Drosophila melanogaster: one gene and its partners. The protein of the gene in region 3 interacts with the protein of the main gene of each other region in a pairwise test. Each region holds a gene or a part of one and is shown on either strand. Other genes may lie near its edges.

The links.
Region 1: the proteins of Tctp (region 3) and Rheb interact in binary tests that used the Drosophila melanogaster proteins (3 or more experiments, as listed by UniProt).
Region 2: the proteins of Tctp (region 3) and sau interact in binary tests that used the Drosophila melanogaster proteins (3 or more experiments, as listed by UniProt).

Annotation. Positions count from the first base shown.
Region 1 is NT_033777.3:5,567,146-5,576,524, forward strand, and holds Rheb (Ras homolog enriched in brain), read left to right. Parts: upstream 1-1,775; 5' UTR 1,776-1,894; exon of another isoform or gene 1,895-2,060; 5' UTR 2,061-2,077; coding exon 2,078-2,126; intron 2,127-2,254; coding exon 2,255-2,326; intron 2,327-2,429; coding exon 2,430-2,637; intron 2,638-2,696; coding exon 2,697-2,826; intron 2,827-2,882; coding exon 2,883-2,972; 3' UTR 2,973-3,346; downstream 3,347-9,379. Other genes in the region: CG12746 (uncharacterized protein), read left to right, coding at 1-215; CG2931 (uncharacterized protein), read right to left, coding at 468-1,376; CRMP (collapsin response mediator protein), read left to right, coding at 7,117-7,195, 7,258-7,321, 7,518-7,708, 7,768-7,844, 8,096-8,230, 8,291-8,353, 8,634-8,780, 9,030-9,268. UniProt on the Drosophila melanogaster protein: Binds GTP and exhibits intrinsic GTPase activity. Activates the protein kinase activity of TORC1, and thereby plays a role in the regulation of apoptosis. Stimulates the phosphorylation of S6K through activation of TORC1 signaling.
Region 2 is NT_033779.5:2,224,652-2,237,132, forward strand, and holds sau (sauron), read left to right. Parts: upstream 1-1,690; 5' UTR 1,691-2,417; coding exon 2,418-2,630; exon of another isoform or gene 2,631-2,654; intron 2,655-2,712; exon of another isoform or gene 2,713-2,953; intron 2,954-4,614; coding exon 4,615-4,742; intron 4,743-4,805; coding exon 4,806-4,924; intron 4,925-4,986; coding exon 4,987-5,162; intron 5,163-5,226; coding exon 5,227-5,475; 3' UTR 5,476-6,448; downstream 6,449-12,481. Other genes in the region: papi, read left to right, coding at 1-34, 93-589; CG15387 (uncharacterized protein), read right to left, coding at 1,147-1,350, 1,408-1,554; Sec24CD (secretory 24CD), read right to left, coding at 7,397-7,537, 7,606-8,396, 8,459-9,326, 9,584-9,699, 9,758-10,217, 10,277-11,248, 11,657-11,890; Tengl3 (testis EndoG-Like 3), read right to left, coding at 12,481-12,481. UniProt on the Drosophila melanogaster protein: Phosphatidylinositol-4-phosphate-binding protein that links Golgi membranes to the cytoskeleton and may participate in the tensile force required for vesicle budding from the Golgi.
Region 3 is NT_033777.3:11,205,323-11,214,906, forward strand, and holds Tctp (translationally controlled tumor protein), read left to right. Parts: upstream 1-4,924; 5' UTR 4,925-5,058; coding exon 5,059-5,577; 3' UTR 5,578-6,576; downstream 6,577-9,584. Other genes in the region: cu (curled), read left to right, coding at 1,584-1,816, 1,871-1,933, 2,038-2,159, 2,227-2,859, 2,925-3,134; SdhC (succinate dehydrogenase, subunit C), read right to left, coding at 3,905-4,418, 4,476-4,477; ZnT86D (zinc transporter 86D), read right to left, coding at 7,546-8,045, 8,135-8,554, 8,626-8,806. UniProt on the Drosophila melanogaster protein: Involved in calcium binding and microtubule stabilization.

The DNA of each region.
Region 1 (9,379 bases), 5.6 Mb from region 3:
TTGCAGGCTATATAAGCTACACACAATACTATCCCTCCATCTTCTGCCCTGATGCCGGCATACCACTGGTCAGGTGGCCCAGCAGAGAGGGAAGCCAGTACCAGCGACTGTCTGGAAAGGACGACAATGGCAGTCGTGGTCCCCACCATCTCGATGGTGGGGATGCGGTGCGGAGACCTCTGCTCGCTGACAAGGAGGAGTCCAAATGGTACTAAAAGCTTTACGTAATATTATTGTGAGTGTTGCTTTCCCGTTTAAGGTTTTTAAACATATTAGACAATTTCTGATTTAAAAATGTGCTGCTGGTTTACCTCGTAATAGGATGGGTAGGGTTTGTTAATAAAAACTAAGCGCGTCAATTGCTAAACGTAAATTTATTGCTCATCTTTAGCAGCAACATCCAAATCTAATTTGCTACATCAAAGTGACCGAAACTAGCCTAAAGGACACGATATGCACACTCAGATTCAAGTCATGGAATTGAAGGCCTGCAGAAGCACCTGTTTTTCGCGCTCCTTTTTCTTAACTACGTCAAGACTGCGTTGTCGCCACGTGCTCTTGCGCAGTTTGATAGGCCGGCTGCCCACATAGCGGCCGTCCATCTCCTTCATGGCCCGTATAAAGTCGGCCGGTTCTCTGAAGCTCACGAAGCCAAATCCCTTGCTCTTGCCCGTGCGCTTGTCCCGCACCACACGGGCCCGCTGAAACGAGGGGAACTTGTTGAAGGTCCGGGTCAGGACCTCGTCGTTGACGTCGTTTCCCAAGTCACCACAAAAGATGCGGAAGTCATCGTCGGGCCAGTCAGCCAGCGAAGTATCCTCCCACACGGTGCCGCCAGCGATACGCACCGTCTTGCGGTCTTTCTTTTTCCGCTCTGTTGTCTGGAAGGATTGCAGCGCCGATGATGCGCGCGCTGCCTTAATGGCCTCCTCTGCAATGGGATTGGGTCCAGACTTTTCCGCCTTGAGCTTCTTCAGCTTCTGCGTTACGTCAAAAGAGACGGCGTTGATGTCGATGGAGGGCGCGGCGGCCACGGTGGGCACGTGCACAGACTGCCGGCACTGATAAAGTTTGGGGGCGCTGCTCAGGACTACGGGAGTGGCAGACATAGCCTTGGAAGAACCACCTCCACTGCCCGTAGGCACGAAGGTGGACATAAACGTGGGTGGAGGCGGCATCGGGGGCGGGGGTACGGTCAGACGCGATCCTCCATTGCCCTGGTGATGCTGCAGCTTGTGCTGCGAGTTTTGGTACGTATTGGCGGCTATGATCGGGCGCACCTGGTTGGGCACGAAGAGATTGCGGGCGGGGGGCTTCGAGATCTCCGCCTCGAAGCGTGAGAGCTCATCCTCGATGTTGCGACGCTTTGTACCCATTTGAAGTGGGGTTTTCTCTTTTAAAAAATCAAATCAAAGCAAGTTTTTACGAAAGTGCTGCAGAAAACTCGGAGTACTAAACAAATATCGATTTCGTTCCCAATCGATTGCACTATTTTTATTTTAAAGGCCTGTTTAGACATGTCCACAGAATCAGGCTCTATTTGCAATATATAACAAATAAAACAGTTATTTTAATATCATAAAACGAAGACATTTAATATGTTTTAACTATTTAAGAAAATAACTGCGACTTTTTACACTTGATTACGACAAGCACCTTTCCGAACGGGCCTTGATATTTTCTGCAATTGTTGACCGTTAAACTAGTAGACGATAGTGTAGTGTGACGGTTCCTCATTAGCTGGCAAATGCCTTATGTTAGTAGGCTAGGAGTGGTATTTCGGCTTCGTCGACACCAGCACTGATTCAACTTCAGAATTACTGTTTTCTTTTAGACGATCTGATAAATAATACTGGAATTAAAATCGCCGGAAAAGCTCTAGCTGTGATAGAAAGTATCCTCAGCAAGCAAAATAAACGCAGAAGCAATATTCCTCATACACACATTTAAAGAAGGAGCACGGGCATACCCACACAAGCGCACAAAAAGTCGAGGGGCGACAGCAAAAACAAAAGTGTGGAAAATCACAAAACCAATAAATTTCTCCATTTATTTCAAAGCACTGGGCCCCAGGAAAATGCCAACCAAGGAGCGCCACATAGCCATGATGGGCTACCGATCAGTGGGTGAGTTTTCCCAGAAAGTTCCGCCAGAAGCACTGACACTGTTGCTGCTGGCACTGGTAATTGCGTAGTATTTCGACAACAGCAAGAACTATGATCAATTGACCATAATAATTACGCTTCGCCCGCAGGCAAATCGTCGCTATGCATACAGTTCGTGGAGGGCCAGTTCGTGGACTCCTATGACCCCACCATTGAGAACAGTAAGTGTCACATCCCATTCCGTGCGGATTTCTTAGAAGCCAGGCTGACTCCATGCTTCGATAGCAGTAGCAATGCGTAATGATCGGTAATTCCCATTCGCAGCCTTCACCAAGATCGAGCGTGTAAAGTCGCAAGACTACATCGTAAAGCTCATCGACACGGCGGGCCAGGACGAGTACAGCATATTCCCGGTGCAGTACAGCATGGATTACCACGGCTACGTCCTGGTGTACTCGATAACCAGCCAAAAGTCTTTTGAGGTGGTGAAGATCATATACGAAAAACTGCTCGACGTAATGGGCAAGAAATAGTAGGCTTCTTCCCCGTGGGTTCCGCTTGAGAGCTAAGCTAATCTTTTTTGCCTTTCAGTGTACCTGTGGTGTTGGTCGGCAACAAGATCGATCTCCACCAGGAACGAACCGTTTCCACGGAGGAAGGCAAGAAGCTGGCCGAGTCCTGGCGAGCTGCATTTCTCGAAACGTCCGCCAAACAGAACGAGGCAAGTACCAAGACGAATCACACTAGCTGAATGCAACTAAGGTACTTCCTTCGCAGTCCGTGGGAGATATATTCCATCAGCTACTGATCCTCATCGAAAACGAGAACGGCAATCCCCAGGAGAAGAGCGGTTGTCTTGTATCGTAGGGCGGCTGAGTAGCTAAAACTACGGCCGAACTGTTGGAAATACGGCAAATCGCTATGGCAATACGAAAATCGATTATCTCTTATCTACACAGTTGGGTCAGCGTGCATGGCGGGGCCGTACCCTTTGTGCGCAGCAGGAAAATCTAAAAATCTAATAGACCTAGTATTCTTAAGACCACACAGCAAGTAACCAATATCAAGCGATCTGAATGCGTCCGCTAAACGCTGCCCAGCAGGTTTTGTGGTTCGCGTCTGGCGCAACACAACAGGTTTAAGTTAGTACGTTTTTTTTACAACAACAATTCAGTTACAAATTTCATATACAAATTCTGCAAACTTTTAGTTTCAATTTAAATATAATTTTTCAAAATACTATTCAAGATTGTATTTTAATGGTCAACATTTTCGATTGTGAAAAATATAGAGGTTGATTTACTAAAGTTACAAGTGCGTCGAGAAGACCTGCCAGTTGCAATTCCAAAAAGCTGGATTTACTTTATCTCGTCCCTATAACTGATTAAATAGGACCAATACCTTAATGATTTCTATAGATTCCCAACCGTTGTGAATTCTCTGGAGACCAAGGTTCAGCAAGTAAAAGAACTGGGAGGATCTCGGTATGGTTCTTAATAAGAGTAATTTCAAACCAAATTACTATTTGGATAAACTGAAAGACTCACCTGGCCACTCTAGCAATATCTGCATCTGTTAGCAAAAAAAGGGGTCTTTAAATTTTAATACCGCTATTTCTTATGTCACAATTGGTCGGACGAATTTGATTGAATTAAGATTTGGCTGGCTTAATATTTCTAAAGACTGATTATAGAAAAAAGACATAGAAATTATTTCGCATTAAACCGATTATGAATAAAAATATTTCTTGTCTTACTTATCTTAAATCTAAAATGCCGGCTAACAGAGCGTTGCGCGGACTAACAGTGCTGTTAACTGTCAGCTGCCATAACCCACCACGAAAATAGCAAATCCACCACAACGCGAGTTCCAATCGGACCGAGAGTTAAATGTTTTCCGATTTTCAAACAGCGAACTTGTGCGTGCGTTAAAATTAAACTCGTTCAGCATTTAAATCGTGTGAGATCTTTGCCTTTTAACGGTAATTTACCAAAGCGAGCGATTCGTATTAAATGTGAATGTTCCCCATGCAGAAGAAAGCGAGCTTGTTTTTCTTCTCTATTTTCTGTATTGCAATTGTTTTTTTGGCTGACTTTGGCTGGGTCTGTGTGTGTATACTTGTGCGCAATGCGTGGGTATTTTCTCAGTTTTTTGTTCTATTTTCAAATTTTATTGCTCTCGCATAATGGTATACATATGTACATCATTATGTTTGACCGTTATTTCGAATCTCCAACACCGCGAGTTTTTTGTGACGGCATTTCCCACTCACGATTTGTAAGCAATCTCTATACATTTGTATGTACATATGTATGTGGATAGGCATGTTTGTACAACTGCACTTACAACCCGCTAATCAGGTGCAATGCACATACATTCATCGATTCCGACTCGGAATCCCAATCGGAATCCGAATGGGTGGGTACTGGCTTTTCTTGTTGCTTCCTTTACGGGCCACAGCCTTTTATCGATTTAATAACAAACGAACGTCAGCGAGTCGTTGGACTCTGCAAAAACCGGCACTCGCACTTGGCGGCGATGTCTGGCCAGGATTAGAGATGGGAGCTTTCAGATGGCAACGGAATAGATGTTATTGACGTACTTACCAAAGCTTACATATGTATGTGCAGATATGTTTGATTTCCAGGTTCATTTAGCTGACTGGCGATAAGTGTTGCACGCGTATCAATATTCATACCCCCTGGTGGTGGTGGTGGATCTACAGAACCAGGCTATGCCCATCTGGGGGATGGGCCCATGGCTGATAAGATATGTCGCGATTTTATAGCGCCCATAAAAGCCGCAGCAAGCCCACAAAACAAGTGAAACCTGCCGATTGTGCTATCAGGGGATTAAACTCACAAAATGAAAAATCAGTCCATACTACATTGTAAATATCGTTGAAGCTCTTATTTGCAAATTAAAACACATTACTCCTTGGCTTTAAAGACACAATCTAAATGGAGTAACAAATTGAAATTATACTTATGTATTTTCCTTACCAACAACTCGCTAGTTTGATGACCTTAACTGACCGCAATTAATAGTATTTTTATTTATCATCAAGCTGGCCTGGGAGTCCCGTTAGAGTGCTTAATTGGCACAGCAAGTGCCAGTGAGGCAACTGCATTTTTCAAATTAAAGAGAACTAGCGACCCACAAAATTCGTACAGCGAATGAGCTTAGCACATTTTCCCCGCATTAATGCGGCTGCATTAATTGCATTATGTACCTGCGAGCCCACTTGTGTGCATTATGTATGTTTAAACACACTCCTTCCGCGTATTTACATATATGTGTGTACATACATACGTATGCATGTAGCCATGCTAAAAGATAGTCTAGATCTAGATCAGTGCAGCCAAGCAGATGGGGTTTTTGTGCTCGGATGTGCGCCGCCAAAAGGGGAAAGTGCTCACTTATCCAATCCCACTGCCGAGCTACCAGTCGCAATTGAACTAATGAAATGTAGCCATCCTCCAACACGTCATGCAGCCCGATAATCATTACCACAACTCAGTTTGCAGACACACACACTTGCGGTAGAAGCAGTAGTTTCTAAATCAAATTTAATATGCTGCAGCTAAAGTACATTCAGAAAAAATCTAGTTTGGACTTCGTTCGCTGTATAATTTTAGTTATTCGACCAAAATGAAAATTGAAACTGAAGCAATGAAAAAGATCATACAAAATCATCATCAATAAATAAAAAGATATTTTATTTAGCAAAGTTCTTTATAATAAGATCAAACTAATATATATTATCCAAAATACAATAAACCTGATGTTGTTACTGATTATGTAATCTGCACACACCGTCAATGAAGTCCCTCTGCCCATACTTGTTTTTTAGAAGCCAATAGTCGTAAGACAAATCACTTTAACCCACATGCATACTTCATCGCACCCGTGGGGTTCTGGCCCATTGACCGCAAGTGTAAGAAACAAGTCACGGGGTGGTACCACAACAAACCTTTACCGCACCGCACTTTTCCTGGCTTGCTCTCTTTTCCCAGTTCGCCAAAGTGCCCGTGTGGCACAATTCGAACTTGGCGTCAATGCCGTTCTGTAGCCACCGCACTGGTGCCACATCCGATCCAATGTGGAAGAGTGTGTGACGAGGGCGCAGTACGTCACTTCGCCACATCGCAACTCGGCACCAACATCAACAGCAAGTACGCAATACATAATGCTTGAGAGGAAGACCGGCCAAGTACGGGGTCAATGCCCGCTGGCCTGGTTGGCTGGTTGACTGCTGACTGGGTTGGCTGGGCTAAAACTGCAGCGCCGACGTCGGAAGATGGCCCTTGTAACGGCTTAGGCGCAACATTAATATTCCGCCTGTTGTGCAGTTACCGCACCACGTCGCATTGGGTTCCGTGTCTGCCGGCGGAACAAAACGGTCTTCGAGTGGGGGAACCAATCTGCTGAAAAGACAAACGAGCTGCAATGACATTTGTGTCGCTGCACTGTGGGTCACAGCATCGTCAACCCTTTCGAACGAACCCAAAACACCCCGCAGCACAAATGCTTACCGATTACGATTACGAGTGCGTGCACTCGAACCCAATGAACACTGTAGCTATATTGTCATTTCTCAGCTCTTGTAGGAGTATTACCAACGTAAAAGCTGAGCTTAAACAAAACTTAGTTGCTAACTAACCTATTGCAATCATCTCAATTGTGCGGTTTCTCGTTCACTTGAATTCAACTTCCATCTTAATAATAAGATATTATGTACCGCATCGAACTGATAATTCTTCGAGTGCATGTGCTTGAGTTCAGTTTGCGCCGCTTAATGCGCGGCACGTGTCTCGAGCCTGTCCTGGAGCGATGCCCCCTATGATGAGTCATAGGCCACAGCCACCACCTAAGGCCCAACAACCCCAAGCGAGTGTATGGATGGAAACACCAGCTCGCGTGTCTGTGTGTGGGAAATGGGGAAACCCTCACCAGTCTAGTCCAACATTCAGATTCACTTACGGAACCCATTCGATTACAGACTATTGCCATGTCGACCAGCCCGAAACCGGTTAAGAAGGTGCCGATTCACTTGCAGAGTGCCCAGAATCGCGTCTACATCAAGAATGGTAAGCTCATTATTCGACCCCGTGGGGAAATAAACCGAGTTAAAACACTGATTCCATTGCAGGCGAGATCGTCAACCATGACAAGTCCTTCAAAGCGGACGTGTACATCGAAGATGGAATTATCAAGTAAGTATTTCGGAAATTACACACTTTAATTTCTCTAGTCCAAGTCCAAGCTACATGTGAAGTGTTAAGTAAAGCTGCAGATTCTGCTTCGACTTAGCGAGAAAGACAAATCTAGACCAAGAATAGACAAAGAATAGACATAGAGCGTTGGCATGACTCACGGAAATTTTACTCAACCACCCTATCCTATTGCCAGGTTTGTGGGTCCCTCCTCGGAAATAACGATACCTGGCGGAGTGCGCACCATCGACGCCAGCGGACTGATGATCATTCCCGGAGGCATCGATCCCCACACCCACATGCAGTTGCCTTTCGGCGGAGCCGTGGCCGTCGACGATTTCTACCATGGAACCAAGGCCGCCGTGGCAGGTGGCACCACCATGATCAGTAAGCAGGATTATCAAAGCGTTTGAAATGTACTCATTTATTCCTGTCCACTTCCCTAGTCGACTTCGTTCTGCCCAACAAACATGAGTCGATGATCGAGGCCTACGACAAGTGGCGCAGCTGGGCCGATCCTAAGGTGAGAAGTGTAGGGTGTATATTGTTTTAAACACAAGCAAATCCAAGTATCAGGGAGTAGTAAGTTAGTAAGCAACTAGGAAATTCTCTATCTAGCTTTGTTACTCATTTATGCTAGCTAAACATACATATAGCTCTATACCATATAAAATATCAAGATTAAAGCTCTTGCTACGGATATGGTTTGTTGAATCACGAGCAATCTATGAGTACATACATTTTGGCATGTAATCAATATAAATATTTATTTAGGTATGCTGCGACTACGGATTGCATGTGGGCATCACCTGGTGGTCGAAGTCGGTGTCTGAGGAGATCGGCATTCTGTGCAAAGAGCTTGGAGTGAACTCCTTCAAAACATTCATGGCCTACAAAGGACTTTATCAGGTAAGTCTGCTATAATGGAACGCATCTGCTTCATAATTAATGGTCTTACTCCCATTTTAGTTGAATGACTCAGACCTTCTGGATGTGTTCGAGCGTATCAGGCACCTAAATGGGGTTGCTATGGTAAAGCTACTTGGACCATTACTAATCTAACTTAAAGCAAGACTAGCAAAAGAAATCATAGGAATTTCCTGTTTAATAGGATACATCCATCAGGCCAAGTCCTTTCTAAAATTCTATTGAAATATATTGTAAACAAATTTGAAAAGATGTACATTGGAAAAAAGTTCCTGATAGGTTCGATTATTGTACTGATGCACTTTTTGTGTGAAGCTAGCTTCTTGCACTTTTTACAACCATCCACATGCATCCATTTGTAGTACAACTTTATTCGCTTCCACAGGTCCACGCGGAGAATGGCGACATCATTGCAAAGAACACGCAGCGCCTTTTGGCCGAGGGCATCAATGGTCCGGAGGGTCACGAGCTGTCGCGGCCCGAGGAGGTCGAGGCCGAGGCGGTGCACCGCGCCTGCGTCCTGGCCCACCAGGTAAGACCACTCCCATGTCGCCAGACAGTGGGGGATGGATGGGAAGAGGGAGGAAGGAGGAGGCGGAGTGTGTCCATGCCGGTTGAGTGCCATTGTGCACTGTGCCGCGCACTGTAATCATGGTTTATTTATTTATGTATGTTATTTATGATTTTGATTTCCTATTATTTCCATTGTGTATGATGCACCCTGTACATATTATGCGGTATGCGGCACTCGATATAACCCCACGAAAAAAACATAACCTAGGCCGATTGTCCCCTGTACGTGGTCCACGTGATGAGCAAGTCGGCGGGCATTGAGCTGGCCAGGGCACGCCACCGCTACCGCGGGCGATACATAATGGGCGAGACCCTGGCCGCGGCCCTGGGCACGGATGCCACCTGTTGCCAGCACTTGGGCTTCGACGCCGAGGCTGCGCATGTGCTCAGCCCGCCCTTGCGGCCCGACAAGACGACCCCCGAGTTCTTGATGAAGCTGCTGGCGAAGTAAGTTCTGCCTGTTGCCTGGGTTCACATTCCGGGCCGGGACCGTAAATGTCAGAGGGAACCATTGTTCCGCAAATTATTCGAGAATGTTGGAAGGCACATTCTTGTATG
Region 2 (12,481 bases), on a different chromosome or scaffold from region 3:
TCTTCAATCGCAAAGTTCGAAGAGCTGACAGAGGGTATGATTTCAGCAACAGTTGCTAGATATATTTTTGACTAAACACCGAACATTTGTAGTGGCACATTGGAGAAAGCTGATTGCTCGAGTGGTGACCTACAAGGAGCGTCCACGGGCAACCACCGCTGTAAGTGCTGCTGCCAAGGAGGGAACCCCGCTGCCCGGAGTGGAACTATTCGATCCAGCCGACAACTCTGAACTAAATATTGCCGATCTGATGATCACCCAGGGCTTTGCTCTGCCCCTGGACGATTCGTATCCAGTGCGGTCACGCTCCTCGACGCCCTCAAGTAACAGCGACTCCACCATTGAGGAGTTGTGCGTCAGCAATCCAGTGACTCCGCTTACGCCCCACTCACCTATGTCGATGTCCATTGATGTTGACAGCATTACGCAGGCGGAGAACGAGCACCTCGCCCAGCAGCTGCAGCATTTGCAGCATAAACTGAACGGAAACGACATAAAAAACATTAATCCGGCTAAACTGACGGCTACAGACCTCGAAAACGGGAATAACAATAATGCCAGCACCACAAATGGTGCTAGCGCGCATTAGGATTTCACATTGTTACTAATTATCCTCGCCTAATTGTTTATAAGATGAAGGCTGGACGAGCAGCTCACTACTTGACGTGTACATAAAAGTATAGCTCTTAAGGAACTTATTGTATAGGTACGAAAGAAAACTGTTTAATTTATCGCCGTGACTGATCGACATATCCTAGATCCTAAAAGCTGACGATGGAACGGCACAGATCCTTAATTGTTTATAGCAACCTTTGCCATGTTACTTATTGTTAGCAAGAACAAGAAAAACATTTGTACATCAACAAAAAATACACAAAAAAGATCACAAACTTATCAAAAGAAATGCATTTTATAAGAATATCAAGCTTAAGTCTATTTTGGTGGCCTGTTTCAGAAATCTGTATTAGAGAAGTATTTCAATATTCTTTGAAAATAAGATTTTCTAGATGACGTTAAGGCATAATTGAAAATGAATATAGTTTCTTCAAATGAAAAGGGCTACAAATATTAAAAGTCGCTTAAAGTATATTAAAAAACCCACCGGGGGGCAGAATTGCAGTCTTGTTTGGGGGATTTACCCCACGCTTAGATTAGGATGTCGTTGGTGGTGTTTATAGCTATGGGGGGCAGGTATATGGCGCGGATCTGACTGCGCAGGCGTACGATTTCCATGTCGTCCCTTTCCATTTCTCTGATGAGCTGGGAGAACTGGACTAATCCCTCGCGGTTTCCAGGAAACCCATGACCCTTAATGACCTCCAGTTGGAGTTGCATCACCAATGGAAAAACCTGCAATGTATTATGTTAAACTATTTGGTTATTTGTTTTGATTTGCTTGGTATTTACGTGCTGCATCATGAGAATCATCTCTTTTCCAGCGGAAGCCTTTGCCTCTGAGAGTTTCTTCGAGTTTTCCGGCTGATTTACACAGCGTATTATGTCCATAAGAATTTGCTTGGCAGTATCACTGTTGAAATTGGTCAAGTAGGACATTATAAACGTTTTAACGGCAGTGTTTGTGACGAATTTAGGCAAAATGCAACAAATTGTAGTAGGTTTTATTTTGTGTTTCCGTTAGAGATGAGTCATACAGCGATTACAACTATCGGACAAACTATCGGTTCGGATTCATAACATTACCAAACCCTTAGTATGGACAAGGAACTGTAATATCATTCAAACAAAAACTTTACGATTAAATAAATTAAGCTGAATTACAAAAAATTAAGAGTAAAAGTTAAATTAATTTCGTTTTAACAGCACCTCTAGAAGCAAAACGTTATCCAACACTTAAGGTCTGGAAAATTGCCAGTACTGAAAAGTGCGGAAATCATGTCACGTCGGAACGTCGACAAAAGACACAAATAATAGGAAAAAGCTTATTTCGCGCAGGCACTCGCATATTCCCAGTAAATGCAAGGCCAATGCAAATGCACCATTAGTACGGGCCACCAAATTGTAAATCAAACCGTCGAGTTCCCAGCGCAAAAACGCCGAGCAAAGCAGCAACAACGAAACGCAGTTTAGGGCCTGCATTTTTGCGATAGTGTGAAAAGTGCGTGTGTGCAAAAGAATACAAAATAAAGGGGGCGCAAAAGAGTCAGTGAAAACAACAACACACAAAAACACAAGACACAAGTACACAGAGAAAAACGCAAACACCCGCACTCGCGCAAACAGACACACACACACACTGTGAAACTCCCAACGTCGAGTCAGCAAATTGTGCCACACACACAAAACGAGGAAAGAGGAAGAAGAGCAGCAGCAGAAAAACATAGGTGCTCCGCTCGCATCCCACATCTCCAAAACTCCATCGATCCGAACTTCCCGACTACCCAACCCAACTCTCCGGAATGAATCGCTCCGACGGATTGGTGCGTCGCTCGGTGAAACCCCGCGAAAACGGTGGGGCGGAGGGTGGGTTGAATGCCAACACGCCGGACGACAACCAGGATGCACTGGACAACCTAAAGGACCAGGAGGACAATATCGACGATGGCGACTCCAAGGAAACACGACTAACGCTCATGGAGGAGGTTCTGCTGCTGGGACTCAAGGACAAGGAGGTGGGTGTGCTCCTTATCTCTTATCTGCTTGGGATGCACTAATTAATTGGTTTCTTTCGCAACATAAGTGCTTCTTCTTCACCTGTTAACCGACGTCTCTCTCTCTCTGTCGCTCTCACGATTTCTCTCTTTCGCAACCTCTTGCTTGGCCCCAAGTGCAACGCAGTCCATCTTCCAGCAGGGGCGTAGTGAAAATTGGATACAGGGGGGTAACTTATCACTTCAGTTATGGGGGCAACAATGTTTATCTGTCCTACAGATAAACATTTTATGCCATGTCTTAGCCACTTCTCTTAGCTTTTCCAGTTTGTTAAGCAATGCACTATGAAATCTTTTGACCAGCCTGCTGACTAATGCGCAATCAGTGAGACTGCCAACACCATTTTCTTAACCACTTTTGTTTTTGCATTAATTAATAGTGTGCTCCATCTGTTAAGGTCTAATCAGCCGTTCATTCTAATCTATAGAACCCATTACTTGCCCTTTGTAATACTTTGATGTACTTCCCAAATAAGTGATGATATATTTATATATAGTATATAATAGGTTTATTTTATGTGTTACACTATCGCGCAATTGCTTCCAGTGCCAAATCAAAAAGATTCTTAGAATTGTTGCCAACGTTCTTAGTTGTTGGAAAGATAGCGCTCTAATACTTCTTCGGTTGGCAGTTGTGGCTATAAATACATACATATCTCTTCGAGAACTTCACTCCGCGCAGCACGGAGAACGGTTTCGTCAAACGAGTTTTCCAATAAGTGGTTAATTTGCATAGGTTTGTAATATTCATAAATCTACGTATAGCGCGGGATGATGTCCGTAAATGCGAACCATCATCCATACGTGACCCATTATGGCGAACAGGCAGATTCGCATTTCTCCATTGAATTCGGTTTTTATATTTCACTTGGCACACAGCTTTATCGCTCAATTGCTGTTCGCTTGTACCACATAGGAATGCACACATGTGCCTTTGTGGCTGGCACCACGTCTATTTGTTTTCATCATTTTGCCCGCAGTGTATTTGTGTGACCACCCACACCTCCATCCCTGCCACCTCCTCTCCCTTCGCATAAGAGGGATACGAGCTGGAAACAGTGGGACGTGTTGCCCGCTTTTGTTTTACATTCCCCTTCCGAGCGCTCTTATCGCGAAGATTTTGTCCATTTGGTTAATTGTTTGAGGAAGTACATACTATCAAGTGCTGCTCTCCTCTGCCTAGCTCTCATCCGTTTCGGGCTTTTCTTATGTCAGTACGTCACTCATTTTCGAAATTATACAAAGTACTTGGCTTCTACCCACACCATCCATTAGGAAAATTTCAATATCTCGAACTGCCGAACTGATAAGCGACGTGTTCTTTGCAAATGATTCACTTTTATACCTTTCGTTCGGAACGATTCCTTATCAATCATCTGAGCGATTGTTATATAAATTATTTTAAAATCGTGAAATGGCATTGAAACGTGGTTGAGGTATCTATCTATACCTTCCAATTATCATAGCTTTTCAAGCGTTAATAACAAGAGTAATTTTTGTAATTGATTTTTTATGTGGTTATAACATAACTCTTCTTGTTCGTTTTTTCATTTATACTAGCTAGATAAGCATTGTATTTTTTAAATTGACAGTTCATACACTTCTGTGGGCAAGGCCTAAACAAACTCAAGTGTTTAATGTTTTAACAACTGAATACTTTCGTCTGGGAGCTTTACGACCCCGGCAACAGGGTAATTATTCATTTCTTTTACGCCCAACACAAGTGAAAAGGCCAAACCATAGACTTGCTCAAATATATTTCAAAACCTTGAAACATGAGACAGTAACCATTTGTTAATGAAGTTTGTACTTACATTTATGTTAGATAGAATTTAATAAAATTTTAAAAAATAAACAAGTAACGCATTCACACATTCTTATTTTTAGATGCCCATCCAGGCCAATCAAATAGCTTGAATCTAATAGCATTTTTAATTACTTTCAGGGCTACACATCTTTCTGGAACGACTGCATATCAAGCGGCTTGCGCGGATGCATTCTCATAGAGCTTGGACTGCGAGGTCGCGTGATGATCGAGAAATCTGGAATGCGGCGACGTGGTCTATGTACAAGGTATGTATAGAAATCTAGTTTCCACATCCTTTCAGAAGCATGCTAACTTCAATTCGCCAACAGGAAATTAATACTGAAATCGGATCAGCAGACGGGAGACGTTCTACTCGATGAGGCACTTAAACACATTAAGGAAACAGATCCCCCGGAGACGGTGCAGAGCTGGATTGAATATCTTAGTGGTGTGTATTTAGGCGCCTGCCATTTCGCCAAGTATGTTTTGTATAACCTATTGTTGTGGCAGGTGAAACCTGGAATCCGTTGAAATTGCGCTACCAACTGAAAAATGTACGCGAACGTCTGGCCAAAAATCTGGTGGAGAAGGGTGTGCTCACGACGGAAAAGCAAAATTTTCTACTCTTCGATATGACGACACATCCGCTGAGCGACAATGTTGTCAAATGTCGCCTGGTGAAGAAGGTGCGTAACTAGACTTGGATATATTCAAGAATTCTAAAACTGAATCCGAAATGTATGACTTCAGATCCAAGATTCTGTGCTCTCCAAGTGGGTCAACGATCCACAGCGCATGGACAAGCGGATGCTGGCGCTTATCTTCCTGGCGCACGCCAGCGATGTGATCGAGAACGCCTTCGCGCCGCTGAATGATGACGACTATGAGGTGGCCATGAAGCGGGTGCGGGAGCTGCTGGATCTCGACTTCGAAGCCGAGTCGGCCAAGCCGAATGCGAACGAAATTCTGTGGGCGGTGTTCATGGCGTTCACGAAATAGACGATCCTCTGATCCTCTACGCTCCTCTCAATAGCACACACACACACACAACACACACCCCAACACAGAAATACAGACCCACATCTGGAATACATTTTGCTGCTTTTGTTTTAGAAACTTTGCTGTGAGTGGAACCGAATCGGGCGATAGGATTTTCTTAAATGGCAACCACCCCAAATATCTGTTTCAGTAATATATATTTTTTAAGCGAGACTATAAAGCAGCCATAATTCCTATTTAAATATACATATGTTTATCAACACTTCAATAATACCAATCAAACGCTCCATTGTCCTTTAATTTTTTCCTGTTCTGTTGAGCATAATAATACATGCCAATGTTTTGCAATCATAATCAGTAAGTTGTGTTCCACGACACATAGAGTTTAGTTGATGATTTCTCTGGCAATGCAAATCAAAATGTATGATGGAAAATTTAAAGCTGCAGCATTGTTTTTGTAATTATATATCTAGCACTAATTGTAAGCGCCAACAAGAAAACTTTGATAAAGTCTGGGCAAGCTGCGTGCGATTGTCTATTGTCAAATATCCTATATATATTTTATCAAAACTTTTCAATTCTATTTTTGATTGTCAAGTATTTTCGAGCCCTTTCCATGTATTCGATTGCGCGTAGAAAATCAGTTCAAAACGTTTCTCGAGCTCCGCAATTTTACCTTAGTACGTTCGACCTTAAGTATGCACCCACCCACATGAACAGACAGACATGCAGACAATTTGACACGGAGCGACATTCAATCTAGGCAATGTTTTAATTTAAATTGTTATTGAATTTCGGGAACATTGAAGTTGAAAAACCTTTTCTAACTGCTAAAAGAAAAATAAAGAACGACAAGAAGTGGACAGCAAGAAAAGAAAAATTATGTAAATGTAAACTGTGCACGTCAAATAATACTAATTCTTAGATATTTAAAGGCCTAATAAAATACAAATATAAAATATATAACTGACGCAAAATTGAAAGTTTATTGCAATTTCGGTTGTACCCCTCCATAAATCAGAGGAAAAATATAAAACATTTAATGAAAAATGGGTGATGAGTTTTAATAAAAGGGGGAAAGCAAAAGTGGACAATCGTCGGAGGAGAAATAGGATTCTTTCCGGTGTGACGACCAATCCGATTTAACTTATCTACTTGAAAGCATAGCCCAATTTTTGATTCGCTTTTTAATACAGTTTTTATTCCGTTTTTCATTCTCAATAAATGTGTTTTTGTTTTGCAGTGTTTGCATTTCTTTCGATAGTTGAAGGGGCAATATACCATATAAGTCGAGTAATTCTCACACGAAACATTTAGGTTATAATATAATAATCTTTCAATGACATAAAGTATGATAAAAAGCAGGGCGCAGCGCACAAATTATTGCAAAAATACATTAGGCCAAAAAGGATGTGAACAAAGAAGTGCTCTTATACTATCCGTTAAATCAACTAGCAGTTTTCAACTGTGGAAAATTTGCAAGTAATTTGTAATTACAATTAAACATATTCATGGAATTTTATAAGAGAATAATTTTTTTCTAATTTTGCAGATAAGCAGTTGCCTCGTTTAACAAATGTTTCGTTTCTAGCGCAGCCGATCAAAAAAAATACATACAAATATATATATATAAAGTAAAACAAAGCAAAATATGAAAACTTTAATAAAATTAATGGAAGAATTGATACGCTCGAAATGATAGCCATTAATTAATATATATGTATATGTATTTTGATGTAAATATAATTGAAGTTCCAACAGCTTTCAGCGCCAGTTTCTGCTTCTGATCCTAAACCCTTTGCATTTCTTATTTTCCGAGGCGACTGCGCATGGACGACAGACGACGCATCCGAGCCCTGTTTTGGGAATAACTGTCCGCCCATCGCTGCTCGGGCTTGTATGTGCCGGAGTAGCCGGCGTGCTAACTCAGCAGATCCTTAATCTCCTTGTGCATGTGACACAGGAAATCCACGTAGCTGGCGGAACCGTCTGTACCGCGGTCCTCCACGAGGAAGTGTCGGAACACGCTCTCCAGTTTGTCGTTCTGCCGCAACCAAGTTATCTGAAGAAAAGATTAAGATCGTTACACATTTCCACGAAGGCAAAGATTTGATCACTGCAAATACGCACCCTCATGTATCGCGAGCGCTCCTTCATGATCTGCTCTAGGATGCCGTGTATGCGCTTGGCCAGCGGCGTTTCTGGAACAATGTTAAACCGCTCCAAAGCTATTTGCTGAAGACCCTGAACGCCGAACACGGACTGCACAAAATCAGGCGACAATGCCTGGCCCAGCCAGACGAAGAGGTGGACTCCATTCTCCAGGATGTAGGCGCCATCCTCTTGCGTCTTTTCGTGCGTGCAGCGAACGGGAGTCGGCAGATCTGTCTCCTCGGGTACAACGTTGTGGATGGGAATGAAACGGGGATACAGGTAGCTGACGGATTGGTTTAAGTCCATCGACAGAATAAACTGGATAACATAAGATCGATCGTCTAGCGTCATGTCCGAACCGCCGGAAATAGCATCGTTCTTGAGCAAACACGAGGCATACAGTGGCAGCAGCTTCAGGCACTCGGGAAGAATCAACTGGCCGGCGGAGGTCGGCGAGGTGCAGTGCTTGCGATAGCAGGCCAGGATTTGCGCCGATCGATGGATTAGGTTGTCTTTCACCTGCTTGGGTGAATGCTCCATCAACTTGAAGCAGGCCTGCTTGGCGAAGAACAGCATCATCGCGTCCAGGTCGCAGCACTTAAAGACATCCGCAATCGTTGTTGTAACGCGCAGAGCAAGGTTAAGAATTCGCAGACGCCTTTGGCCGCTGCACGAGGTGTACAAGAGTGCGACTTGAAGGTACACGTTCTCTTCTGGTGCCAGCTTGTCGTCATGCTTGATCTCAATGCTTATCGACTTGGTGGCATCTGGAAATCGAAAGGAATATTATTAACATATATAAAACCAAAATGTAGCCGTGATTGCATACCAATACTGGCCAGCTCCACATCAGTTGTATTGGACATGAAGAAGTGACCATAAAACTCCGTGGGTCGAATGCCAGCCGATGTCCGCACCCTCATCACCGCGTCGAAGGCGATCGGTCGCGATACGTTCTTAATGATATCCTGTATTAGTCTCTTGCCATCCACGTCCGCCTGGAAGTAGGTGTACTTGAACACCTCTCCACCAGTCAGCCGAGAAACCTGCCCAATCGTGGCCAAGTCGATGTAGGCGTTGTTAAACACGAATAAGTCCACGGAGCAACCCTGCTGGACGCACTCCTGGCCCAGTGTGTTATATGCAGTGGTTTGTGGAGTGAGTACGGTTTTCTCCTTATCAGTTCCCAGAAGCTTCCGATCATCGCGATTCTTTAGCTTGCCAGGCGCCTCCGCGATGGGTAGCGTTGAGTTAAACACCAGCAGTTTTCCAGCTGCATTCGATGCCTTCAGTGCCTCCAAACCCGCTTGAATGGCAGGGTACAGAATCGTTTCGGTTTCCTTGGTGTCGGCAAACATACGAGGGATCTCTTCCATCAGAGCATCGATTACAGCAGCCGACTCTTCTGGGTGGCACAGGAATCCATCCAGCAGGGGCATGAACATCTCCTGGACATCGCCCACAACCATCATTTGCGGCTGGGCCAGACTGCTCTTGATATTGTAGAAATGCACGGTGCTGTTGTACGTGATGAAGCCCACCCGCACCTTGGATTTGTCTTGACCCTGGTCGACAGGCAAATGCTTGAGTATGTTCTTGATCTGGGAGCAGAGCAGATGAACCAGTCCCGACTTCACGGTGTTGTAGGAGACGTCGATGATGAAGATAAAGGCGGGAACCTCCGGGGGAGTATTGTTCTGCGGCAAAGGGAAATAATTAAAAATCAGTTTAGTGTGTATCTACTCTAAAAATGATTATCATTAAAAACAACCGAGACAAATTTTCATTCTGTGGAAATACATGATCTATTAACAAACATGCCATATGTTCAACATATTTATTGGAATATGTTCAGAAAAGCTGTTCCATTTTCAAAAATAGCTATTTTTAAAAGCACCACATTTTGGTGTCTAGAAATATTATTAGTAGTATTTCCAATATATGTATAACTTACCCGACAGTAATCCTTGGTGGCCAGAAACTCGTAAGTTCCCAGCAGTAACTCAGGTCTTTCATGCTTGTCCACACGCTGTCCAGTGTGATCCAGGTGCTGATAGTAGTTCTGATGAACTGCAAAATAGTTCAACATTTAATTAAGGCATCATTAATTGCGCCCAAGATCGCTTACCTTCCGAAGTTACTTTGCACATCAGGCACTGGAATCGGCGGCCGGCATCCACGAACTGCATGTTGGGCGACATGTACGCCTTACACCTGTTGCAACGAATTGGTCCCATTTCGCCGAAGTTCACAATCGGTGGCTCCATTTCCCCCTCGCCAACTTTGGCCAGCGGCGAGATGTTCAATGTCAGGGGTAGAGCTGTGGTCTTCAAAAGATCACCCGTGTTGGGGATGCAATAGAGCGAGGAGCGCAGGAAGCGGGGTGAAGAGTTGCCTTGGTCGTGAACCACGAATTTGGTGGTCACCAATGGAGGCAGCAATCCTGGCTGGTTGGTCACAAACGGTCCTCCAGACAATCGCTGGTTCTCAATCATCACCTGGATGGGATTGGGCATTTGATCGGGATCAAGGCGTCGTGCCTGCGGAGCCTGTTGATACATATTTCCTGCTCCTGGCATGGGAGGTTGCTAAAATAGTTATAAAGCAATTAGTTAAAACCTTGTTACAAATAATAATCATGACTTACATTAAAGCCAGGACGTCCTGGCTGACCTGGAAAACCGGCACCTGGCTGAGGTGGATATCCTGGTCCTCCTAGTTGCTGTCCCGGTTGTGGCGGATATCCTGGCATCGGCTGCTGACCGGGTTGTGGGGGATAGCCCGGTTGCTGGCCCGGATAACCAGGTTGTGGAGCTCCGAATTGCGGCGGAGCAGCTGCTTGCTGACCTGGAAGCGGTGGAGGTGCTCCAGGGAAGCCTCCGGGAGCCTGACCTGGAAAGCCACCTGAATATCCGCCTTGTTGGGGAGCTCCGTAAGGCGCTCCTGGTTGCGGAGGCAACCCGGGTTGGGATAGTGGTGGCAGTCCAGGCTGCTGTGGGGGAAATCCCGGCTGCTGCTGTGGTATCCCTGGCTGCTGCAATGGCGGGATTCCCTGCTGCTGCTGAGGTGGCAATCCGGGTTGCGTGTAAGTTGGAGGAGTGGCTCCAGGAGGTAGCTGGGGTTGACCCGGTCGTGAGCTCGGTACTCCATACGGACTTGGGGCAGGCTGGGATGTGGGAATCTGACCGGAAAAGGGTGGCTGTCCGGGAAGTGGCGGTTGTCCGGGTAGAGGCGGCTGAGAAGTAGATCCAGCTGCTGGAATCGGAGGCTGACCAGGTGCTGCTCCCGGCGTTGCCGCTTTCGGTGGCGGCATGTGCGGCAATCCCGCCAAAGTGGCGCTGTTCAAGCTCATCTGATTAATCCCACTGGCCACGCTTTGTGGAGTACTGCTGGGCGGTAGGGCTCCGTTGACATAACTTCCAGCTTGCGTCGGTGGTGGAGCACCGAATGCAGCATTGTTGTTGTTGGTCGGAGGAGGTGCTGCATTAGAGTTAAACTGATTGAAACCGGTTGGCGGTGGTGCCGCAGCAGCGGGAGCTCCTTGGGGGAGTGGTGGCTTCAGGGGATTGGCCCCACCGACACCGCCACCCACACTCAAACCTCCCATCGACGTGGCCAACTGCAAGAGAGAATGTTTTTTTTTTTTTTTTATTAATTTCACTTCATTTTTCTTATCTACAAGCTCAGCTTCACTCTTCTATTATGAAATCACGGATGACCTCTTTTACTGAATGAAGTGCTCGCAGCCGAAATTTCTAAACTTAAAAATACTGTCTTGGTTTAGGTATTCCTGTGCGTCATTGAGATACTTCCCATTGAATATCTGTATATCAAGGTGGCCAATTGGTTCAAAAGAGTAACGTAATTCTGCAATGCTTTTCAGATTCTAACCCTATTCTTATTATCGACTAGCTCAATAGGCTATTGCCAGAATGAAGCTGAAGGGAATACACATATATTTGACGTGTGCAACCGGATTGTCTTCCGATTCTCGTCAAAGCTGCCATGGTTAAGGCTATCTATTCACCTGCTGCTGGTAGTTGCCATTGAGGTAAGGCTGGGATGCCGCCGACGTTGGTGGTGGTGCTCCGTACTGTGGTTGTTGTTGCTGCTGCTGCGGAGGCAGTTGTTGCTGCGGCGGCTGCTGCTGCGGTAGTTGTTGTTGCTGCGGTGGCCAACCTCCGGAATTCGGAGGAGGAGCCCCAAACTGGGGTTGCTGCTGGAACTGCGTGGGCGGTGGCCCGTACATATTCGGATTCATTTCTGGCCCGGATTAATCACCTGGGTTTTAGCGGAGAGGGTCGACGCTAAGCCAACAAACAACTTTCACGGAAAACGAAGAGAAAACACACACGGATTGGCTCAAAGTTCGCCACGGCGATTTAGCAATTTCGGGGGCTGCTCGGCCTGATTCCTGACCACTGACTCCTCGATTTTGGCCACTCGGTGTTGGCCTCAACTCTCGACGGCCGCGGCGGACGATCGCTGGTTGAAAAACAAGAATAATTTCGAGCTAAACGAACTTCCACGTCAGTTCCCTAATTCGATCTTTTTTGCTCTTTTTGCCTTGCCACGTAAGCTATCGGTAATCGGCAGTGGAAAATCGAATGTCAATCGATTGTGCTCTTTCGGCTGCCATCGCCGAATCGATAATCGTGTTGAACTTAACAGCGCTGCTGTTAGCGAACAGCTGCGAGTTATGTTATGTGTAAGGTGGTGCAATAGAATGCAGTGACGTCATTAAATACGTTGGGTTAAAATAAATAAGTGAATAAGATATAATCAAAGTACATTTAAAATAAATATGTATATTTTCACAATTTTATCAAAATATTCCTTACATTCAGGGGTT
Region 3 (9,584 bases):
CTTGCAGATACATCTCGTATGCGAAATACCCGTTTGTGCGTGCTCTCCTCGCGATCTTTTCGCTGCCTCCAGCGCGAATGATCTCTCTAATAAAACCCCGCACTTCAGTTGGCATTCAGTTTCGCCAAAGTCGCTTGCAAGCGCACCTCGTTCCGGCTCCCCCAAAGATCGCTAAAGTCACCACCTCACATATCCCACATAAGTTAAAAAAAAAATAACATTCGAAATCCAAAACATCCAAATCCTTTGATCCTGCCGCAGACATGGAGCCAGCCGTTCCCATTAAGCGAGCCAACAAGGCGCCCTGCAAAAACGATCGCAAGGCCTATCTGCAAAAAGTGATGCTGACCAGGTGAGATGGGCTGCGATCCGAGATGTGAGATGTGAGATGTGGGATGGGGGGACAACTGATCCACCGGCGGCGGGTGATTGATTGCGGTGACATGCCGAAGCCCGTAAGCCCCAAATCCAGTCGCCATTCGCCATTCAATCCCAATCCCCGGCGGGAACTGGTTTCGATTCTCTCGCGGAGCGTTGGAAACCAGACGAACAGCTGCGAAGCTATTGACCGAGCGACATTTTCGCCTTTGTTTTTGTTTCGCGGGATTATCGTCGCGTGGGCGTTCCAGATTCTCCCACCCCTTACCCCCGCTACACCATCTAATACCCCGCTCTAATGTCCGGTAATCTTCTTAGAATCGGAGCATATGTGCTAATTGCCGTAAGCTTAGGCACACGAAAACCAGAAACGTTCTATCCAGCAATATGAAAACTATGTTTTAGCTGTGAGCTACGCAGATTAGTGTGATTGAGTCCAGCTTCAGGAAGTCAGATTCATTTGGTAAAGGAATCAATGATCAATGAAAGTGAAATCATGCATTCCATCCATAACTAAAAGATAGTTTTTTGCTATGAGCTACCTAGCAACAATGATTGAAAAGAATAGAAAATATATCTTTAGTTGAGAAAGAGTTTTTGAGAATGGTTTTAAGCTTGCTAGTTGATTGTGACAGATTGAATAATTGAGCACTTTATCAATAACTCCTTGTTCCAATTCCCCATTTTCGAAATTATTCACTTTTGTGTTTTTTTTTTGTGTTCTTTAAATTGATCAAATCTGATTGAAAAACCTAACAATTCTTAATATTTTTCTTCCCTGCACACAAAACACTTACTCCATTCAAATAACTCCTTGCAGCAAAGTGAAAATGGGACAATTTTATACGAGTCAGCGTCATAGTCATAGTCTATTCATTTTCAGCATAATACTGAGAAAAATTCTATATAGAAAACCCAATGCTTTGTGAGTACCAGAAAATGTGAAATAATATGTATTTAATTGATGTTGTTTATTTGGTGTTTATTCGCTGAAAGTTGTTTGTTTGTTGCGAGAAGCTTTTATCAATTTGTTTTTGATTGAAATGCTAAAAGAAAACACATTTAAAGACTTACTCAATCTTTGTGTTTTGAAATAGCAAAATATAATCGAATAGTGAGTGCTAAACACGTTCGCTTAGTCGAGTTTTTATATAGTTAATTGTTCAACGGCTGTAAACTAATTGAGTCACCTAATCCTATTCCAGAATGGGTTCATTTAACTCGGCCCCAAAGATCAACAATGTGGACTCCCAGGACGATGGCCTGGTACTGCCCTCCGGTCTAAGCACCCCGGCTCTCCTCCAGCATGTCCAGCAACTGCGTGGCGGTGGCATCGAGCAGCCATCGCTGCTCACCCGCGGCTTCCTAAAACCGCTGCTGGCGGACGAGGATGTAGCCGACGGACTGCGATGCCTCAAGCTGAATTCCGTGTCGAGGGGTAGGATTGCATCCTTGTCTTATCCGAGGGCTATATTCTAATCTATTTGTGCAGTTTGCAGTGCGCCAGTCGAGGGTGATGACATTCGATTGCTGCAGTGGAACATCCTATCACAAAGTATGTCCCTAAAAATATTTATATGCTTATATATGTTTAAAGAATTTGCATTATTATACCTTAACTCTATCCCATTTAACTTGATTTCTTCATCTGAAACCCAGCTCTCGGGCAGCACAACGATGGATTTGTGCGCTGTCCCGAGGAGGCTCTCACCTGGGAGCACCGCAAGTACCTGATTGTCCAGGAGATTCTGCAGAACCAGCCCGATGTGATTTGTCTGCAAGTATGTTCACATCAGCCCACCCAACATTTTCAAGACAGTCACACTTAAATGTGATATATTCAATTAGGAGGTAGACCACTTCAAGTTCCTGCAGACCGTGTTGGGTAGCCAGAACTACGCAGGCATCTTCTTCCCGAAACCGGATTCCCCGTGCCTGTACATCGAGCAGAACAATGGACCCGATGGCTGTGCCATCTTCTACAAGAGGGACAAACTGCAGCTGCAGGGATACGACACGAGGATCCTGGAAGTGTGGCGGGTGCAGAGCAACCAGGTGGCCATCGCGGCCCGGCTGCGTATGCGATCCAGTGGTCGGGAATTCTGTGTGGCCACCACCCACTTAAAGGCCCGCCATGGCGCCCTTTTGGCGAAATTACGGAACGAACAGGGACGTGATCTCATTAGGTTTGTGAAGCAGTTTGCCGGAGATACGCCGCTGCTGCTCTGCGGCGATTTCAATGCCGAACCGGTGGAGCCCATCTATGCCACGATCTTGGGATGTGATCTCCTCCGCTTGGGCAGCGCCTATGCCGACGTGAAGCTAGACCGCGAGGAGATACTACATCCCAACGCGGATGTCGGTGAGTTCGTCGCGAAATCGATGAAACGCGAGCCACCCTACACCACCTGGAAAATTCGCGAAGAGGGCGAGGAATGTCACACCATCGACTACGTCTTTTACACACCCGATCGCCTCAAGGTGGGATTTCTGAAATAGTTGCAAGCGGTTACAATTTATTTAACAATATTTATGTCCAATTTCAGATCAAAAACTGTCTAGACTTTCCGGCCGGAGAGCAAATTGGCAAGAATCGCACACCCAGCTTCCAATATCCATCGGATCACTTTTCCCTGGTGTGTGACTTTGAGCTACTGCCTCCGACGGAAAACGGAAAGGAAAGCGGCAGCGGAAGTGGGAGCGATGGTGAAAATGAAACGGAAGTGGAGGGCAGCAAGCATGGATCCATTCAATAGAAAGCTTCAGATTCATAATTTGCCGAAAAAGAAGTTTCAATAACATTACATCGATTGTGATATTAGTTGTTAGATACATATTAGCCTCATACACAACCGTTGCACTACAGTTTGCAGCTTTTACAAATGATAATCCAAAATTCACAATAAATAAATTACAACGTATGGAAGAAAGTTAACTGAACTGCATTTTCTATCCATATAACAATGACCTCTTAAAAATCAAAATTAAGGATATACATATTTTATATAGATTCTGTACATGAACTGAATCCCCCATCTAATAAAAAGATTCTTCAGTTCCGAAGTAAAAGGATCTTTAGAAGACTTTTCTATAGTTAGGGAAGCCAAAGAGCTACTCTTAAATAAATACATTTTCGGAGCCCTTTTGCATTTGGTTTTAATTTTTCATGTAAATTTAAGCCTATAAAAAGTATTCCCTACTTTTGGGCGCATGTAAGTAATATTCTGCTATCGGAAATCGCTTGTTCGGGGCGTATACTTGATTTCGCTGTCAATGGACCGCAAGATGTCTATTTAACCGGCCTCCACACTGAATTCACTCTACAAATCACCGAAATCGTTAAAAACACGCACACCGTGCAAATTGCAGCGCACAACAAACGTATGCAGCACGCCCAAAGCAACAAAATGGATTGCGTAACACAACAAACACCTTTATAAATATACACACTACATGTATTTAGTATATAACAATTTTCACACAGTGTTCGCACTAAAATGTAATAGGTTTAGCTGGGGTCTTGGACTTAGAGCAGGGCCAAGATAGCGGATAGCACGAAAGAGGTGGCGACCATTGCGTAACCGGTGGAGTAAACCTCCTTGATCTTCAGGAACCGTCCGGTGTCCCAGAGGAGATGCCTAATACCATTGGCGGTGTGATAGCCAGCCGGATAGGCGATGATAAACTTGAGGGCGGTCAGAGTGGCGCCACTCAGCTGGAGGCCCTCCACCATGGTCACATAGTGGCTAATGTCGTGGGACGAGATCAGAGCGCCCAATCCCAGACCCCAAACACCCACACCCAGGGCCAATCCTGTGCCGCGGTGACAGATCGAGAGCATGGAGGTCAGCTGCGGTTGGTAGATGGTCAGATGGGGCGACAGCTCCCTGCCCAAGCGCTCGTTCTTCTCGAAGAACGACTCGTCCTTCTGGGTTTCGGCCACGGAAACCACCTTCATCGATACCGGGCGGCTGGCAGCGGCCATCTGGAGGCCCTGGCGCAGCGCCGGAGAGCGGATCAAAGAACTGGAGAGTGCATACCTGCAAAAAGCAGTCACAAATCAGGGTTTTTGCAGTGCCATCACAGAAATTACGTACATTTCCCTGTTTTTCACTCGAACTTGTATTGATGGGACCGTACACTGACTGCGCGATATTACCGCAAACAGGGATGCCACTACGTTGGTAAAAAACAAATAAGTCTCGAAAGTATTGATTTTATATCAACTGTAAAACATTGTTATTACTTTATATGATTAATTCTGTTCCCACTTTTATATTATTCCAATTGAGAATATTACACATATTTATCTTTTTTACTGAAACAGTCTCAAATTATTAAAAGTTAGAATGGCCATAAATATACGTAAGAAACATCAATATTATAGCTATAATAATTTTGTTCGCCTTGTTAATATTCCCTGCTCTTAACTAACAATAAATCGAAGAAAACATTGAAATTATCGATACGTGTATAGTAGGCGCTGCCACTCCCGGATCAATCGTTACCACTCCCAAGCGAGTTGGCAGTTCTTTCGCCATTTTTTCTCGCTCATTCTTTTTGCTGTTCGAGTGAGCGCGTGGCAGGTCGTTTCGCAGTGTTCCCGGTCCGGTGCAGTTGTAGTTGCATTTTCGCCAGCGATTTAGACGCCATCTTCCGACTCCCGACAAGCCAATCACCATGAAGATCTACAAGGATATCATCACCGGCGACGAGATGTTTGCCGACACCTACAAGATGAAGCTGGTGGATGATGTGATCTACGAGGTGTACGGAAAGCTGATCACCCGCCAGGGTGACGATATCAAGCTGGAGGGCGCCAACGCATCCGCCGAGGAGGCCGACGAGGGCACTGATATCACCTCGGAGTCTGGCGTGGATGTTGTGCTTAACCACCGACTGACGGAGTGCTTCGCCTTCGGCGACAAGAAGTCGTACACCCTCTACCTGAAGGACTACATGAAGAAGGTGCTGGCCAAGCTGGAGGAGAAGTCGCCCGACCAGGTCGACATCTTCAAGACCAACATGAACAAGGCCATGAAGGACATCCTTGGCCGCTTCAAGGAGCTGCAGTTCTTCACCGGCGAATCTATGGACTGCGACGGCATGGTGGCCCTGGTGGAATACCGCGAAATCAACGGCGACAGCGTGCCCGTGCTCATGTTCTTCAAGCACGGTCTGGAGGAGGAGAAATGCTAGATGGATCCCAATCCCCCAAACAAAACGGAACCTATACTCATGCATACCTTCTACACACATATACATATTTATCAGATGCTTAGTTACAATTTTGAAAGTCTTAAATTTATGTTTAAAAACGCTGACAAAAATGCCTGTCTTCGATCAGTGCGATTTTATATCTAATTTCTTTTTACCGGAGCGCTTATAAATTCGACATTGTATGTTTATTGTTTAATCACAGCGAGCTAAACAATTCAATTGCGCCACCTATTGTAATTAAAATAATAATTTGATAGCAACACCTACAAATTAGTATGCATTTTCGCTAAGATATCAAAAAGCAACGAAGACCGAAAATGGGAACACCAGTACTGAAATTAAACGGAACACCTATACAAAACAACTGTGAATCCGCATGTCTGTACTTCTTTCCAAATCTGCAGTTATGCGTAGGTAGACGCCGCCATATGGCGGCGTGAGTGGGAACGAGAGGGCGCCACCACCGTCTGAGTCACAGACTTCAGTTAGTTTGTGTTGTTGCTGCTTTTTGGGGCAATCGCGGAGTTATTGACCTTTGACAGTGATGTACACATGCCCCGCACCAATACCGTTACCGTCATTGGACATTTTGGAGGTCATGCGCAGTGGAACACGATTTTCTGCACGTTGCAGTTCGACTTGCCCCAGTTTCTCACGTTGGCTTCGCCCTAACCTCAACCATGCTAATGAAATGCGCCGCTCTCGCTGGAATTTGGGATTCTATAATCTAATTCCAGGTCAAGCAATACGTACGTCTTTATCTGCTTGAAGGGCGGGGCTCTGCGCCCCAGGTGCTATTTCCATTTCAGCGAAACGTGTCGACCTGTTGCCGTTCGTCGCGTGAGAGATGCGCACAGTGGACACTCGTTAGGGCGAACGGCGATATTGTCTGATGTTCGAAAACAATTTTTTTGAAAAGCACAATATATTTTCCTAAAATTGTAAAGAATATTTTATTCAAGTATTTGAATCTAGTTGAAATAGAACCATTTTCGGGATAAAAAGCTAAAAGTTTTTCTTCGCTATTCTCATACATTGTTGAATTTAATGGTTTTTAATATACATACATATGTGTCTATTTATGTACCTTTCCATTCTTATGAAGCGTTGTTGAAATGGAGTATTGTTCCAAGAAAACTTTTTAACAATAAGGAGAACAACAAGCTATACAATTCTGGTTTATTTTGTGGTCTTTCAAATTAAATTATATTTTTGTAAAGAAGTAGTAAACTGGGCAGTTCAATAGCAGATTATTTTCAATGGGAATCTTTTGTAAATAATTGAAATAGGTTAATCTAATCGAATATGTTAATTGGTTATTTGTTTGTACCCAACAAAAAACGAATGATAAGTACCCATCCAACCGGAATTAAAACTTCTTTCAGTTCGGTTTACGTATAAAAATGCTAATAACAAATTAAATTTTATTTCGTTCATAATTTTGATGCTTCAAACTGTGGCAAAAACGATTCACCAAATGCACTTCCACCGCACGGCGGAATGTCCATGGAAATGTCAGTCAGAATTAGTTGCTATTTTCTGGTTTTGTTCATGCTGAATTTTAAAAAATCTTTAAATATTTATATTTACCTTTGCACAAAATCTTTCGCTTAGCTTACAATTACACTAATGCTCCTCGATATGGACTATTGCATAAGTTATGCCATGCTTTCAGTATGTATAGAATTGGAATGAATGCCGAACGCATTTCAACAAATACAAACGTTAATAAGTTAACAAAAATTCGGAAAGTACAACTGAAAATCAAACACTTTCTTTTACTTAGCTCTTGGAGGGGACATTCGGAAGTGATGGGCGGGGTATTGTGGCGCCGTAGTATACTAAAATTTCATAATGTTTGAGTCGCACTGCCCACAAACATTCAACATGCGCTGATAACTATACAGATCATTGTACAAGGACACCGGTGGGTCGATCCCATTGGCATCAAACATAATCCAACTGTATGTAGATCTGCTTGACGCCCACCGCCTCAAAGATCATCCGTGTGTGCGTCACCACGTACTTGGGATCGACGTTCTTGGACACCTCCAGCTTGAGTGCGCCCACATAGACATCGGAGCAAAGGGTCCAGAAGTGCGGCTCCTGCACAGCGTAAACGCCAGCCAGGCCGGTGACTTTCTGATAGCACTGCGGCAGCGATCGGTCCAGGTCGGCGGGTTGTCGCTGCATCAGGATCATGATCGACTCCTTGATCAGACTCAGCACACTGAGCGCTATCAGCAAGGCTATGAAGATGGAGCAAATGGGGTCCGCTATCATCCAGCCGAACATGTGCATCAGCACCGCCGAGATGATCACGCCCACCGAACCCAAAGTGTCCGCCAGGATGTGCAGGAAGACGCCGCGCATGATCTGCGAGTTGCTGCCCGACATGTCGCCGTGCGAGTGGCCATGGCTGTCGTGATCGTGTGAGTGTCCATGGCCTAGAAATGGGCGGATTTAAAAAGGGGTTATTAGAATATTGTCCCATTCCTAGTCAATATAATAAGATATAATCTCCAACTGCAGTTACCATTGTCCAAGGTGATGGCTTGGTGATTGTGATTGCCGGCGTCCGTGTGGCCGTGCGAGTGCCCGTGCCCATGACCACCACCGTGGGAGTGTCCGTGTCCACCGTGCGAGTGTCCATGTCCGCCGTGATTGAAGGCATAGATGCCCACCAGGTTCACCAGCAGTCCCAGCACGGAGACGACAAACAGACGCTCGTGCTTGACCTCCGGCGGTTCGATAAGTCGCTCCACGCCCTCCGACAGAATGAAGAAGGCTATGAACAACAGGAACAGGCTATTCACGAAGCCGGCCAGCACCTCGGCGCGCACATAGCCGTAGGAGAACTTGTCGTTGGCCTTCCACTTGGTGATAACCGACGCGGCCAGTCCCGCCAAGAGGCCAGTGCAGTCGAAGAACATGTGGAATGAGTCGGAGATCAGGCCTGCGGATTAACCATCAAGTAGGTTATAAACTGCGGATAAGATAAAAAGCCATTAGTGGCCAAGTACGCACCCAAACTGTTCGTCACAATGCCGTAGAAGAGCTCCACGAAGGCGAAGCTCAGGTTGAGCAGCAGAAAGAGGAACAGATTCCGGGAGTTGCGGTCGGAGAAGATGAGTCGTTTCCAGCTGTTGAGCTTCTCCCGGATCCGGTAGCCCAGACTGCTCCGGTCCTTGTGCGACAGCGGTATCATCTTGCCGGTTATGGATCTGCAAAAGAGCACGAGACCAACATGAGATCTAAGCACCTAACTAAGAAAGCACACTTTGTTTGCATACGTGGTATTATCGGTTGGCTATAGCCGCGCTCCAGCTGATTCCGTGATTCCCACTCCGCTTCTGGCCGGGTTCGCGAGAATCTTTATCGGCAACGGCGGCGGCGGCAGGTCTCTTTTCTTTGATTCCCAAATTATCTCACAAGCAAAATGCTTCCTGCGCGACTTCGTCGTCGTCGTCGTCTTGTGTGCGCAGTTGTGCGGCGCGGGCTCGTCGATCTGCGATTCAGCTGCAGCTTAATTCATTTTTACTGGGTACCAGATACCAGAACCGAACTCCCGTCTTTGCCAGCACCAAACCAATCTGCCGTGTTGTCATCAAAATAATGGTAACCACGTAAACATTTCGTCCGAACGAAAGCAGCGCTTCGTTGTGAATGGCAAATGGCCACAGTAAGTGCACCACTGAAAGTTTGTTGGGTATTCATTTTACTGGTCGCTTTTTAGTTAGATCTTCCGGCATTTTGTTTGAAAAGTATAAATTCTAAGGAAGTTTGATTTATTGCGGTCTTTTGATTATTATTATTTTTCACTTTAATCATGTATTAAGAATTGCCAGTTTCTAATTTTTATACCTTATTGAATGAAACTTTAATAAACTTCAATGGCTTTTCTTTTGACTTCATTTTGTCGTCAATTATGAAGTTACAATTGAGTACTCACTGTCACGTGAAAACTGAGAGGGTGAATGGCTTGA